Linked DNA regions of Stegostoma tigrinum. The protein of the gene in region 1 binds, or shares a complex with, the protein of each later gene. Links are inferred from orthologs where the notes say so. Each region holds a gene or a part of one and is shown in the gene's direction. Other genes may lie near its edges.

What was found.
Region 2: the proteins of substance-P receptor-like (region 1) and protachykinin-like are in contact, whole or in part, in a cryo-EM structure (PDB 7P02), measured with the Homo sapiens proteins. The link is inferred for Stegostoma tigrinum from reciprocal best matches to the Homo sapiens genes TACR1 and TAC1. Residues at the interface, in NP_001049.1 of Homo sapiens: Gln24, Phe25, Asn85, Asn89, Tyr92, Ala93, Asn96, Trp98, His108, Asn109, Ile113, Gln165, Met174, Arg177, Val179, Cys180, Met181, Ile182, His197, Val200, Phe264, Phe267, Phe268, Tyr278, Leu279, Ile283, Gln284, Tyr287, Met291; in NP_003173.1 of Homo sapiens: Lys60, Pro61, Gln62, Gln63, Phe64, Phe65, Gly66, Leu67, Met68.

What each region holds. Positions count from the first base shown.
Region 1 is NC_081393.1:13,701,814-13,709,426, reverse strand, and holds the start of substance-P receptor-like, read left to right. Parts: upstream 1-4,588; 5' UTR 4,589-5,064; coding exon 5,065-5,450; intron 5,451-7,613. UniProt on the Homo sapiens protein: This is a receptor for the tachykinin neuropeptide substance P. It is probably associated with G proteins that activate a phosphatidylinositol-calcium second messenger system.
Region 2 is NC_081355.1:82,537,570-82,544,546, reverse strand, and holds the start of protachykinin-like, read left to right. Parts: upstream 1-3,955; 5' UTR 3,956-4,289; coding exon 4,290-4,409; intron 4,410-6,421; coding exon 6,422-6,524; intron 6,525-6,977. UniProt on the Homo sapiens protein: Tachykinins are active peptides which excite neurons, evoke behavioral responses, are potent vasodilators and secretagogues, and contract (directly or indirectly) many smooth muscles.

The sequences.
Region 1 (7,613 bases):
GGGTGTCAGGTAAGCTTGTGGCAAAGCAGAGTCTGAGGAAGATTGCAGGTCCAATCAACAAACATACATATTGACCATGGTATTGTGTGTTTGGATCTGGGTCCCATGGTATAGCAGAGAGCAAACCATTGTCATTGTCATAGACTATACAGCATAGAAACAGACTCTTTGTTCCAACATGTCCACACCAATCCGACGCCCCAATCTGACCTAGTCCCATTTGCCAACATTTGGCCCACATCTCAGTAAACCCTTCCTATTCATATACCAATCCAGATGCCCTCTAAATGTTATAATTGTACCAGCCTCCATCACTTCCTCTGTCAATTCATTCCATATATGGACCACCTTTAGGTCCCATTTAAATCTTTTCCATCTGGCCTTAAACCTGCCCTCTAGTTCTGAACTCCCCACCTGAGGAAAAAGACCTTGGCTATTCAACCTATTCATGTCCTCTATATGGTGATCCCTTAAGCCCCAACACTGTAGGGAAAAAAAAAGTCCCAGTCTATTCAGCATCTCCCTATAATTCAAACCGTCCAGCCTCGGCAACCTCCTTAGAAATCTTTTATGTACCATCTCAAGTTTAATATTATACACAGTATTCTAAAAGTGGTCTCACGAATGTCCTCTACAGCCACACCATGATTTTCCAGCTCCTATACTCAATGCACTTACCATTAAAAGCAAATGTGCCAAATACCTTTTTCATTACCCTTTCTACATGTGAGTCCACTTTCAAGGAACTATGCACCTGCACCCCACATCTATTTTTTCAGCAACATTCCCCAGGAGCCTACCATTAACTGTATATGTTCTGCCCTGGTTTGCCGTATCAAAATACAACACTTCACATTTATCTAAAATGAACTCTATCTGCCACTCCTCGGTCCATTGGCCCATCTGATCAAAGTCCTGTTGTCCTCTGAAATGGCCTTCATCACTGTCCAATACACCACCAATTTTGATTTCATCTGCAAACTCACTAACCATACCTCCTATAATTTCATCCAAATCATTTATATTAATGACAAAAAACAATGGAGCCAGTATTGATCCTTGCAGCACATTGCCGGTCACAGTCTTCTCACGATAACTATAAATTACTTTTGGTAAGGAAAAAAGTCAAATAGCACAGGCCAAAATCACAATAATGTGTTTTTGTTTAAATAGTTCATGCTAATTCAAATTTAGACTAATTAAAGTGAAAATCCTTTAAATTATAAGCTTTTACTCAAAGACACAGCCATGTCTCAAATGGGTTTGTTTCATAACTTAAAATATATGACAAGCCTTATATATATATGATTTTTTTAAAGGTTGTTTTGAGCTTTAATTTGTTTAAGGTATCAACAGTTGTTATGGAGTTACACATGGTTCTCTGAATTAAAGGTATTGTTGGGCGTTGAAATTTTGGAGACTACTTAGACAGAACTCATGTGCGACATTTGGGACATTATTTAATTACTTAGGGATGAAGCTAGGTACATCTAAGTGGGCACATAAATGACTACATTTTACATCAGTAAGATGTAAAAGATTGATGCAGACAAGCATGCTGCAAAAAAAATGAAATAGGAGGTGGTAGGAAGTCAGAATGACTAACACTTCTATAAGAAATCAATCAGAAATTTGGCATACATTACTGAACCATCTGAAACACATGTACAGATCGTGGCAAGCAAATTAGAGTTCAGAATGTCTCTCATCATACACATGGGTTGTGGCTAGCGAGGATTAGTCAGTAGTGCTAATTTGGTTCACAAGGAGAACTTCAATTAACAGAAGACAACAAGAGACATGTGTCCAGTCAAACAGTGTCGCCAGCTGGGGTTCTGAAAAAGATGACTGAAAAACCACAAATTTTATGAGACACAATTTCTTTTGGACTTTCAATCCTGAAATTAACAAAATATGTGAAATTTCTGAAAACTTTGGAGTCAGTGGTACTGCCTTTGGCATCAGACCATATCTATTCTTGAGTGTGAACACAAAAGATTCCTTGATGCTATTTCAAGGAAGTGGAAGGGTGTTCATCCCCATATTTATTCCTCAATTTTCACCTAATAACAGATTACATTGTCATTATCACATTGCTGAATGTGGGAGCATGCCAAGCAAAAAATGGCTGCCAGGTTTCCTACACTATAACATCAATGACACTTCAATAAATATAGTTAGTTGGCTACATGGTGGGTTGTAACATCCTGAGGTCATGTAAGGGTCTAACAACCTAGAGGTTCTTTTTAAACTGATTGACAATTTGACAATTACCAAGAAACATGGCCAGTGTATATTTGTAGCATACCTGGGGATGACCCAAATGATGGATGAGTAATTGGTTGTTCATCTTGCCTGGATAGCCAGTCATCACAAGAAGGTTTATTTTCATTGGGTTTTGACCATTGGAATCATCGCACTCCATTCAAGTGTGATGGCCTCTTCTCTTCAGGGTAACTCAGAACCACAATATTGTTGGGGTTGGCTGAGTTCAGGTTCTGATCAATGGAGGGAAGTTTGGAGGAAATTTATATGGTACATAAACATGTCTTAAAGCCATTGTGATTTTGGTCTAAACTTGACAATAAGAACTGAACTACAAAGGTGAGGTGAGAGTTAATGTCCTTGACATCAGGCTGCATTTGACCAAGCATGGCATCAAGGAGCCTGAGCAAAATTGAAGCCAATAGGGGAGTCCACTCTGTGGTTTGGAGTCATGCATTATGCAATGGGTGATGAGTGCGGCTGTTGCACATCAGTCTTCCCGGCTCAGGGATGCCTCTACTGGTGTCCTTCAGGGTAATAACCTCGGCCCAAGCATCTTTGGTTGCTTCATCAATGACTTCCTCTCCTTCATACAGTCAGAAGTGGGGATGTCCGCTCATGATTGCACAATGCTCAGCACCATTTGTAACTCCTCAGATACTGAAGCAGCTATATGTAGCAAGACCTAGACTGATAAGTGACAAATAATATTGCATAAGTCAAGTGCCAGATAATGTCAATCTCCAACAAAAGAGAATATAACCAATGCCCCTTGCTGTTCAATGGCATTACCTTTACTAAATCCCCACTATCAACATTCTGGTGTTACCATTGGCTAGTAACTGAATTTGACAAGAAGTATATCTATTGTAGCTACAATGTGCAGTTCAGACGTTAGGAATCCTGCAATGAATAATTCAGCTCCTGTCTCCTTAATACCCACTTCCATCATTTATCAAACACAAATAAGAAGTGTGTGGAAACACTCTCCACTTGGCTAGATGGGTGCAACTCCAACAACACTCAAGATGCTTGAATTCATCCAGGATAAAGCAGCCCTCTTGATCAGGACTCAACCTGTCACGTTCAACATTCATTTCCTCCACCACTGATGTTCAGTACAGCAATGTAAACCATCTTTAATATAGACTACTGTGCACCAAGGATTCTCCAACAGCACCTTCCAAACTCATAACCTTAACCACTGAGAAGGACAAAGTGCAGCAGAAATGTGGGAATACCATCACATGCAACATCCCTTCCAAGCCACTCACCATTCTCACTTGGAAATATATTGGCATTCTTTTAGTGTTGCTGGATCAAAGTCCTAGAATTGCCTCCCTCAGAGCCCTGTAGATCTACCTACAGTGCATTGCCTGCTTTGGTTCATGTAGGCACCACCACGTTCTCCAGGGCAATCAGGGACGGGCAGTAGGTGCTGACCTAGTTAACAATTCCACATTCCTATGAGTGAAAAGTTCTGAAAATTGGATCATAATAATTGAACAATGAGCACAGGGCATGATTTTAGATCTTTACCCAAAGAACCAAAGAAAACGATTAGAAGAGTTGGAAGGAGATGAATCAGATTACAGGCTATCTTTTCACCGAGTGAAGGGTAGACATTTTTTTGCCAGCTTATTGTGGGGACACTGGAATGGGCTAGGATAGGAGGAGGGGACCAGATTCTTCAGAACGCTCAGAGCGGCTGATTAGTTTTCGACACAATGTTTAATATTGCCAATTATTGGGCGGAATTTAGTTGTGAAATAATTCCATTCTTTACACTGGATGTGTTCATCCTTCGCTTTGAGAGCTAAATAAATGAATACAGACTTGTCTGTTCAACAATTCACCATCTAAACGACTCATTCTCTGTCCGTCTCTCAATCCCTCGTGCACACGTTTCGACTCCCAGAGCCATTTGCTGCTCTTTTGGTTAATTGCAGGAATGCGCCTCCAGGCAGAATTCTTTCGGATTCTTTAGAGCCCAATGCGGAGAGGAGGACATGAACGGATTGAATGCTAAAGCTGTGTCCCTGAGAGGCAATTGAAAGCTGCAATATGAACACTTGACGGTGAGAACTGAAACAAAGCAACCAGGAGCTGGCCGAGAAAGCTGGGCAGCTGCTGAGTGCTGAACGCATTTTAACTGGACACTCTTGGGAATGAGATTAATAAATCATTCAGATCGAAGGTGGCGATACAGCTACAATGAGCATGCAAATCTGTCACTTGTTGTTTAATCATAGACTATACATCAAAAGGACAAAACATTTCGCTGAATGGCATTTTAAGGCAATCACCAAAAAGGTTCCTCTCTTGCCTCCCTTTCTGAAGAATTTCGGGTTAGGAAGCCATTTGTGGGGCAGATGCAAGCCGGCAAGGGATGAAGGGTGGTCTTCCTCTCGTTCCTGCCCTCCCAGAGGTACTGACGTCTCCTGTGCAAATGTGTTTTAAAGAGACCAGCCTCTGTTATTTCCCGGTGTTTGTCTGTCAGGCTGCCAGAGTCAACACGTGTGTGCTGGAGCCCTAGGCATAACGCCCTCTCTCTCTCTCTCTCTCACGCACATACACTGACAATCAGCAGAGTTGCGACTCAGGGAAAAGAATGACTCTGCAGAGTTTCACTCAGTGACCTCAGCGGCAAGCTGACGACTAAAAGCGGCCAGGAAACGTGGGGGAAGAGATGGGCCACATTGTGTCTGCCTGTCTGAGCGTCTCTCTGTGACATGCAGCGAGCTTCTGGAGTGAGCAAGATCTGACGGAAGAAACGGTGACTTGCAGTGCTCTCTCACCATGGAGCTGACCGCGTGGCAAGGCAATGACTCTGAGCCAGGGAACCAGACCGAGGAAATGGACACTAAATTCCTGCAGCCCGAGTGGCAGATTGCCCTGTGGGCGCTCGCCTACTCCATTATTGTGGCGGTGGGAGTGTGCGGGAACCTGGTGGTCATGTGGATTATTCTGGCCCACAAGAGGATGCGGACAGTAACCAACTATTTCTTGGTCAACCTGGCTTTCACCGAGTGCTCCGTGGCTGCTTTCAATGCGGTCATCAACTTTGTCTACGGCATCCACAACGAGTGGTACTTCGGCCTCGGCTACTGTCGTTTCCACAACTTTTTCCCCATTACTGCCATGTTCGCCAGCATCTACTCAATGACTGCTATCGCCCTGGACAGGTGAGCTTTTCACCGCCTTAACCCAAGGCTCACTTTGGAATAGTGCCATCATGTTCTCAGGAGAGGCTGGGACTTTTCTCACTGGAGCGTAGGAGGTTGAGGGGTGACCTTACAGAGGTTTATGAAACCTTGAGCGGTATAGATAGGTGAATGGAGATCGCAAGAATCGCAGATATCGGAGTCAGAGCCGATACGATGTGGAGCTGGAGGAATACAACAGTAATGCAGCATCAGAGGAGCAGGAAAGTCGATGTTCGTCATATACCCTTCATCAGCACTAGGAACAGTACTTGCCCAGTCCTGATGAAGCGTGTAAACCCGAAACATCGACTTTCGACTTTCCTGCTCATCTGATGCTGCCTGACCTATTGTGTTTCTCTAGCTCCACTCAGTATTGGCTACAGAGGTGAATAGTAGGTGTTTTTTTTTCCTGCGGTGAGGATTTCAAGACTAGGGGCATATTTTTAAGGTGAGAGGAGAAAGATTGAAAAAAGACATGGGGGGGGCGGGGGGTTGCATGGGGATAAGTACATGAGTAGGAAATGTTTGGAGGGATCGCGGTCAAGCGCAGGCAGGTGCGACCAGTTCAGCTTAAGCTCATGATCGTCGTGGACTGGTTGGACCGAAGGGTCTGTTTCCGTGCTGTATGACTCTGAAACATTTCTACGCCTCTCCCGCCCTCTGGCATCGCTGTCTTCCTCTCTTGAAACCTTTTAACGCTGTCTCTGCCTCTCTGTACCCCTGTGGCTCGCCATCCAGCTCTCTCTCTCTACATACTCGGTCCCGGCTGCAGAGAGGTTAATCTCAATTGAGGCTCGTATCGATTTAGATCTTGATGGTGCAGGCTTGATGGGCCAAACGGCCTGTTCGGTACGGTGTGATTATCTGCTGAAGTGTCCGGACCAAGCCTCCTATCTCAGAAAGGCGCAAGTTCCTCGCCTGGAGCTGCAGTCTCGCTATTGAATCTCATCGGTTGGAGGCGAATTAGCAATTTCGGCGTCTCCTCTTCAACCATTGCCGCACGGAGCCCGTGAACTGAAGCACCCGGTGGCCGAGATGCAATTTCATCCCGCTTCTAATCCGCTGTCTCCCATAAAGTGCTGAGCCTAACTGTGCCTCAGAGCTCTCAGGCGCCACCGCTGTCCGTTTTCCTCTCTCCGTGACTCCGGTACGATTAGCACTAACCCAGAGCTGGGCAGCAGTGCGCCGAGCTCGTGATAAGACAAGACACAGCTCCTGACTCAATCCTTTGTTTCAACCTGCCGTCTCCCACGAACAGCCTTCCATTTCTCCCCGCTCACAGGCAAACAGGGCTCTTTCTCTCTCTTGCACACACGAATTTGCACACAGGCTCGCCAGCAAGTTTGTCTCCAATTCTAAACACTGAACACGTAAGAACAAGGAAAGCCGAAGCACAGTGTCCAGCGGACAGAGATTGGGGTTCAACTCTTGGGACAGGTCAGAGCTGAGAATGCTATCAGCCATTTTCACAAGAAGGGTGCCAGTGCTGAGTGAGAATTTGTGAAATATGCCTTTAATTTTAAGAAAATAAATGCTCGGTTGTTGGAATCAATCATCTTAAAACGAGGGACGGTGCAATTTCGCTCGAAAACGTTCACACACTTGTTACTGGTTTGGCCCCTGCGCTGTTTGCCAGCGCCATCCTTGAGGTAGAGGCACCAGGCGAGATGTTTTATGATTTGGTTTATGTTTGGCTTATGATCTATAGAAATTTGTCATGTTGCGATGACAATTCTGCCAGACTGACTCAGTATGGCTTGTTCGTTTATTTTCATCCTCTTTGAAGTTTGAACGGAAAGGCCTGGACAGACGCGACGGTTTGTTAGGCCTTTTCGAGTTCTGTCGTTAGACACATATTTAACACATAGGGCAAGACTTTTTCACGCTGTTCTTTATAGACGAAGCATTTAACTCCAAGATGGGGCAGTGTGACATGTCCTTGCTTTTCAGAAAGATTGTAGGAGTGCCAGCAAACAATTATGAGAGATGACAACTGGACAACATCTTTCAGCTGAGGACCAATGTCACACAAGCATTGCGGTTTGGCGCTTCTCTCGCCTCTTAACACTCCTAAATCTCCATTGGTGGAGCTTTTAAGCTTTCAAAGATATAAACTAGTTTTAAAGTGGCATTGTAGGCATG
Region 2 (6,977 bases), on another chromosome or scaffold:
AAAATACTGAGGATGCTGAAGAATGTGCCTAGCAGGCAAAACTCAGCATGTCTGGCGGCATTTGGAGAAAGAGAAAGAACAATTGTTTATTTATACTCGCGTTAAAACGTTAAAACGTCCAAAGGCCCGTCATTTACATGAAAACAGGCACAAACATTGGCAAGTGTAACAGACTAAGGTTGGAGCATATGATTAAAGCTCGGTGAAAGAGGGAGATGGGGAGCGTCTTTCTAGGAGACAGAGGTAAAAGTGGTTTCATAAAGGAAGTTCAGAGTTTCTCCACACAGCTGACGGCACAGCCATACTGGGGCAGTAATTATAATTGAAGAGTTTCAATAGAACAGAACGAGAGAATCCGGTTACCTCAACAAGTTGCAGGGCTGGAGGGAATTAGAGATGGGGCGTGACAGTATTTTGAGAGGAATTTTAAAAGAAGTTGCTTTACTTGGAGCCAATGTGCATCAGTCAGTGTAGTGTCTAAGGGGTGAGCAGGATTTCGCGCGAATTAGACAGCACGGATATGTATGACCGTAATTTTATGGAAATAGGATGTGGGAAACTGACTGAGAGTGTATTTCTCCGGGGGCAATGAAGGCACGGGTGGAGATTTCAGTAGCAGATGCAGTGGGGAAGGATGAAATCGGACAATGACACAGAAATGGAAATAGACAATCTTCCTGATGGCACAGATATGTGGTTGGAGGCTCATTTCTGTCAAACTTGACAACAGGGTTCTGAGTTGTCTCATTTACGCTCCGCGTTGTCAGGGAGAGCGAGGTTGGTAGCTAAGGAAAGGGGGTGTGCAGCAAGATTGAAGGCAACGGCTTTAGTCGCCTCGACACGTAGTTGGGGGACATTTCTGCCCTCTCAATACTGGGTGCCAGTCTTAGAAACAATGGAAGAGTTGTAGGGACGAGAAGAAGAGGTGGTAGAGCTGAATGTGGTCAAATCTGATACTTCTCCCCATAGTCAGGTCGGCTCTAAATCCAAAGTCATACTTTCCCGTTCGCCCCTCTGAGTTTGGAGCTTATCTAGAATTCAGCGCGCATTCTAAACAAAAACAGATATATGACCCCAAAAAGGCGTGAATATCCTCTGGTGTGAACAAGGGTATAGGTATAGATTGTAGCTCTCCAGGCCTACAGGATTCACATTGTCGGGAAGGTGCAAAATGATATGCAAATAAAAATGCTGCGAATGCTGAGGATCAGAAACAAAGGGATATTATCGGAGAATCTCAACAGGTCTGGTAGCATCTGTAGAGAGAAAGCAGAGTTAATGTGTCGAATCTGGTTACCGTCCTGAAGTCCTGAAGACTTTCTGAAACAAGGATCACCGGACTCGAAGTCGTTAGCTCTGCTTTCTCTCTACAGATGCTGCTAGACTAGCTGGAAAATTATTGTTCGGGTAGACCCAATCCCGTTCTCTCTCCCGCGGTCAGAGTTCGAAATAGCGGGATTTACCCTTATGATTGCAGAGCAATGAGGGCTGACCTAAAAACACTTCCCAAGCTCTTTGGATCTCCTGCGCTTTTCTAAAGGTTTTAAGTGTGCAGATGTTCCTGTTCTGAAAACACAGTTTAAGCGTTGTCAGGGGAGTGGTGTATTCCTGAAACCACACATCTTCAGATCCCTCCCCTGGGTAGGGGAATTCCAATGTACTGACTAGATGAAATAAGTACTTAGATTGGTAGTTATGAAAAAGCACATTTTAAAACTTATCTACGTCAGAGGGGTTCTCACGGACGAAGTTAAATATTGCTAAGCATTGACTTTACGAGAATTCTTATGCTACTTAATTAACGTCTTAGTGTTGAGAATATAAATCCGCCTGTTTGCAGGAGATTGAAGTCTCCATGACTACATTGAGTTCCAAGTCAGTTTTCTTCTCAAACCTTCAACTGCATCCATGGAAGTACATGTTAAAGCATAACAAGCGTTCAACCGAGTGCTGGCTGAGAATTCCCGTGGATTCCAATTCCAAAGCCTGGGTTTTAATATTCTCATCCCATGTCGCCCTCTCCAGCGTCTGCAACCCTTCGGTGTAATCTTCGACATGATCTCCTTGACTGGCAGGACAAGCTCGATGGCCCGAATGGCTACGCCTGCTTCCAATTCATACTTCTCAATGAGTTATTCAATTCTTAAAATTTGGAATTTCCTCTCTCAACCTCTTTGGCTTTTCCTGCACCTTTAAGCTTTAGCTCTTCAAAGACGTTTTCAGTAATTTGTCCTACTTCTTAATATCGCTTGGATTTTAATTTCGGTTTCATAGCTTTCTTGTGAGGCATTTTGAAATGTCATGTCGTGAGAAAGGTGCTGCACAAACATATGTTGCAGTTATTTGGAACGATTTTAATCCTCACCAACCGAGATTTGAGATCTCTTTTGAAAAACCTTGCTCGTATTTTTCTAACTAAAACTTGACAAAACTCCAATGTGGTACATGCAAGTAGCGGTAACTGTCAACATTTAACTGTGGGATTTATTAGATGAAATGGAGTCAGTCGTGCAGCCGGAAATATAAGCCTGAAGAGTTCTGAAATAGGCTTAAAGGTCCTGCTGGTTTTGTAAAAGGATTCAAAAATAACCTTGATAAAATGTGAGGCTGGATGAACACAGCAGGCCAAGCAGCCTCTCAGGAGCACAAAAGCTGACGTTTCGGTCTAGACCCTTCATCAGTGAGATGCTGCTTGGCCTGCTGTGTTCATCCAGCCTCACATTTTATCTTGGAATTCTCCAGCATCTGCAGTTCCCATTATCTCTCACAAAAATAACCTTTTCTATTTTTAAAAAAAGTTCCTAAATATCATGAATTAACATTTATTTGCTTCTGTTTTACTCTGAATTTGCAGATACATTTTGTTATAAATTAACTAATTACATGTGTAGAGTTTATTGTTTATCTTTCCTTCCACCATAAAGAGGAAATTAAATCTTGAAATGACTAAAGAACTGGTGGAATTTACGCCATGGATATCACGTTGGATAATACCCCCCACCCCCCCATTAAAGATCTTGCATCTCACACATTACCTGACTTTGACATTGTAATTTTTTCTTACCTTTCAAATTTCGACAATGAGTGCGAATATTCAGATTTGTTGGCTGAAGCGAAGTTGCTACAAATATTTCCTCTGATATTACATTTTAGAATCATCTTCAAAAAGGCTAAAATATCATGTAAAATACTTACGTAAAGTGCAGGAATAGCCTAGTTTAAGGTCTGAACTGATGTTTGCATTTTGCTCAACTACGAAATAGTTGCAGAGAGAAAACTTCCCACGGCAAATGATTTGAATAAATTCAATACAGTTGCAGTAAAACGCTCACTTATAAATGTAAATTATGTGTGACATTTGCGCCTGTATGGATAGATGATGTGTAAATGGTTTCCTAATCTTAAATTCTAGCCATTTAATTGACCATAAAACATAAAAATAATTTAAGTTACAGTTACTGTTCTTCTTTGCTTAACTTCCAAATAAATTACATCCTCAAAAGGCATAGCTTTGTCTGAACAAACCAAATTGAGGGCATTTCCTATCAGTTTAAAGTAAATTGCATTGTTCAATTTGAGCCGATTTGAAGTATCTTATCTGTATTCAGAGAAGGTCCTTTCTTTCCACAATCGGATTACAAATGATTAAAAACTGAATCAAAATATTGACTCCGGGGTAGCCATTAGGTGAAAAAGATATATTAAACCTAAGTATTGACGTCGGTTTGAACACTCATTCACAGCGTTGCTCATATCTGGGAAATGACTGAAGCAAACAAAGGACAGGAATACACATCTTGACATTTCTGCACTTCAATATCGATCTTCTAATTCAATTTGTCAAACGGAGGCAAGATTCATTCACCTTCGAATTCCTGGAGCGCTATTTTTGGATCTGTAACGTACCTGCGCTCTAATGACCCCCCTGGTGCTGGGTATAAATTGCAAGGAATTCAACGGGATTTTCATTCGCATACCAGCCTTGAGATCCGGAATCTGAGCCATTCAAACTCCACTTGGGAGACGACTCTGCAAGATACAGCAAGAGCAGTTGATTCTGCCGGTGCAGTTGGCAAATAATTGGAGCGGATCAACAAAGGAGCCAGTGAGCTCGGGAATTTCCGGGATCGGGCGGAAAAACACGAATTGGACCAGGTAGTGAGCATCCATCCTCCAGCACAGGCAAAGAGAGAGCGCAGCCTCTTCAATAGCGACCACTTGCTGCGCACGGTCTTCCGCAGCTCCCACTGCCAGAGCCTGAGCGGTCAACAGCCCTACCCTGTCCCAGGATGAGAACTCTCCGGCTGATCGCAGTGACAGTCAGCCTCCTGGTTTTGACAGATGTCTTTTGCGAAGAGGTTTCCCGGAATGAAGGCGTTTCTCTATGGGACGAAAGCGACCACGGCCAGGTAATGTTTCAATTAATGTACAATTTACAACTACATGATATAAGCGTTGAAATTTAATTTTACTCAGTTTGCGTTTTCCCTGTGCCTCGCCATTCCACAAACTTAAAGGGTAGGGGCCGATAGTGATTACCAATAGGGCAACATCGAAGTACTTTTTTGGTTCCACATGGCTTACTCCCATCTTCAGGAATGTGTCGGAAATAATGGCATGTATTGCCGTGAAAAACCAGTGGGCATCTGTTCAGTAACGTATGGATAAGAGGACGATGAGTTAGATACGTTTCCTGTATGAATGAGTTTCTAGCTGATTTTTTTTGGTGTGGAAAGTCAGTTATGGACACAACTAAATGTTACAATAGTGTCCGAATGCGCAATCAGCAACAATTGGCAACCCGCAGTTGGTCTCCCTCACAGCGCGCTGTGCTGTTACATGTTGGAATAGGTACCAGGAACCTTTTTTGCTTGTGGACCGGTCTGATGTTTCCTGGCGTATCACTCGGTGGGACTCCCGCCACTGACAGGAGGCATGTGGAATGCAGGAGGAAAGAGAGGAAAGTTACAACAAGAATAATTCTGGCTAAAAACTTGTCACTCACAAGGTCTCAGCTCACTGTTAGAGAATCGTCGGTGACTCTAGGTCAAAGTTAGCCAGCTCCGGCTTTGAATATACCCGGGGGCGAGGAGTTGCTGCATTCTCAAGTTTTCGAATACTAAGTGAAAATATTAATTAGACAGCGAGACAGATGCTGCGATATCAATAATGAGTTGCTATGGCATTATAAATCCTCTTCAATAGACAAAAACTTGTCAGTTACAGAAAACGCAATAGGAGGGCCCCTGCCAGGAGTGGTTCAGCAAACGAATGGAGAATGTAATGAGACATCTTTTGACTGAAATGAGCTGTAGTTAAATCTATGCAATCAAACTGAATTATATATAAACCTGATTGAATCAATTTACTGAACAAAAAAAGAAGTTGCTGGAAAAGCTCAGCAGGTCTGGCAACATTTGTGAAGAAAAAAAATCACAGTTAACGTTTCGGGTCCGGTGGCCCTTCCTCAGAACTGCCAGAACTGAGGAATGGTCTCACGACCTGAAACGTTAACTTTTTTTCATTCACAAAGGCTGCCAGACTTCTGTTTTTGTTCCTGATTTACGGCATCTGCATTTCTTCCGTTTTTTTTTATTTTGAATCAAATTCCTGTGCGCGTGAAAGGAGATTAGTATTAAGTTCCAATTAGTTCCCAATTATGTTAACGATAGTTGACATTTCATCTCAAATCACCCCTTTTATTCTAAATTATGCAGATAGCCCGGGCTATTAGAAAGGTTTGTATTTATAAATATTCAACAGTGGATCGTTATTTAGCAATCAACAGATATTTGTGAACATTGCTATTCAGTAATTGGAAACGCTAGTTGTAAAACTACAGCGTTTGAATACATTTTTCCCAATACAAATCTGGTGCCTGTGCATGGTATCTGGCCAAGTAAAGGCGAAGTCGTGCATCCAGTTCGATGGGTGGAGCTCTCGCGGGGTGGCTGGCTAGCGTGAATGCATACGCTGTACCCTATATAAGTTTGGACCCTAATTATCCCCTATCTAATTATAACTTATTTCAGCAATGGTGCGCTGAGTTTACTGTACCTGTTGCCCGATGCAGTGCCAGAAATTGAGCTGAATAAAAAATAGCCCAGCCCGGAGCGGGTTGGTAACTCAGCAACACGGCTCGTCACATCCCAACTGCAACATCCATGCAGAGAAAACATGGAGAAACAAACTGCAAGAAACAGCGGCAGAGATTCGGCTCGGGATTGCTGCCTCAATTTGTCTTTTGCGATCTTTAGAAAAGTAACGTGATGAGAATGCATTTAAAAAAACACACACACTAACCTGGCCTCCTGACATACCACATTAACAGTAACAGACTGGGACACAGATAGAGCCATATCGCGGAGGAAAAGTTGGGTAATTGTGCATTATTTTCTCCCCTGCTTTGATCTGTTTTCAGAACAAACGACTGCAGCCGGATTCCTTTCGGGAGCTCCTGAAGCGTGTGGCCCGGAAACCACGACCCGAGCAGTTCTTTGGCTTAATGGGCAGGCGGTCATTCGGTAAGGTGTATTTGTAATGTAGTGTTGCTGGCTAAACTGGTTTGTTTGTAGAGTATTGTCAATCTATTCCACCTGCTTAACCAAGGGCACCTTTTCACATGAGCCCATTGTCAAATGACAAAGATCAAAATTCTTGGAATATATTAAAAATAAATAAAAACAAATCGTTCAAAGCAGGAATGGCAAGAAGTCAGGTGTATTTATACAGACGAAGAACCTGGAAATGCACAGCACAGTGATCTCACCGGGACAGGAAAAGATTCTAGCGGAGATCGGGCAGGGTCAAATCTTGTTTCATCTTTCCAGGGTTTCAGTGTTTTATGGTTGTGTTTCGTATTTACAAACTACTCCATTCCCTCAATATCTGGTTGAGAAATGAGATACATTTCCTTTGGTTCCACATGCTACATCTGGTGTTAAATGACCACTGTTAAATTTAATCCCATGCTTTAT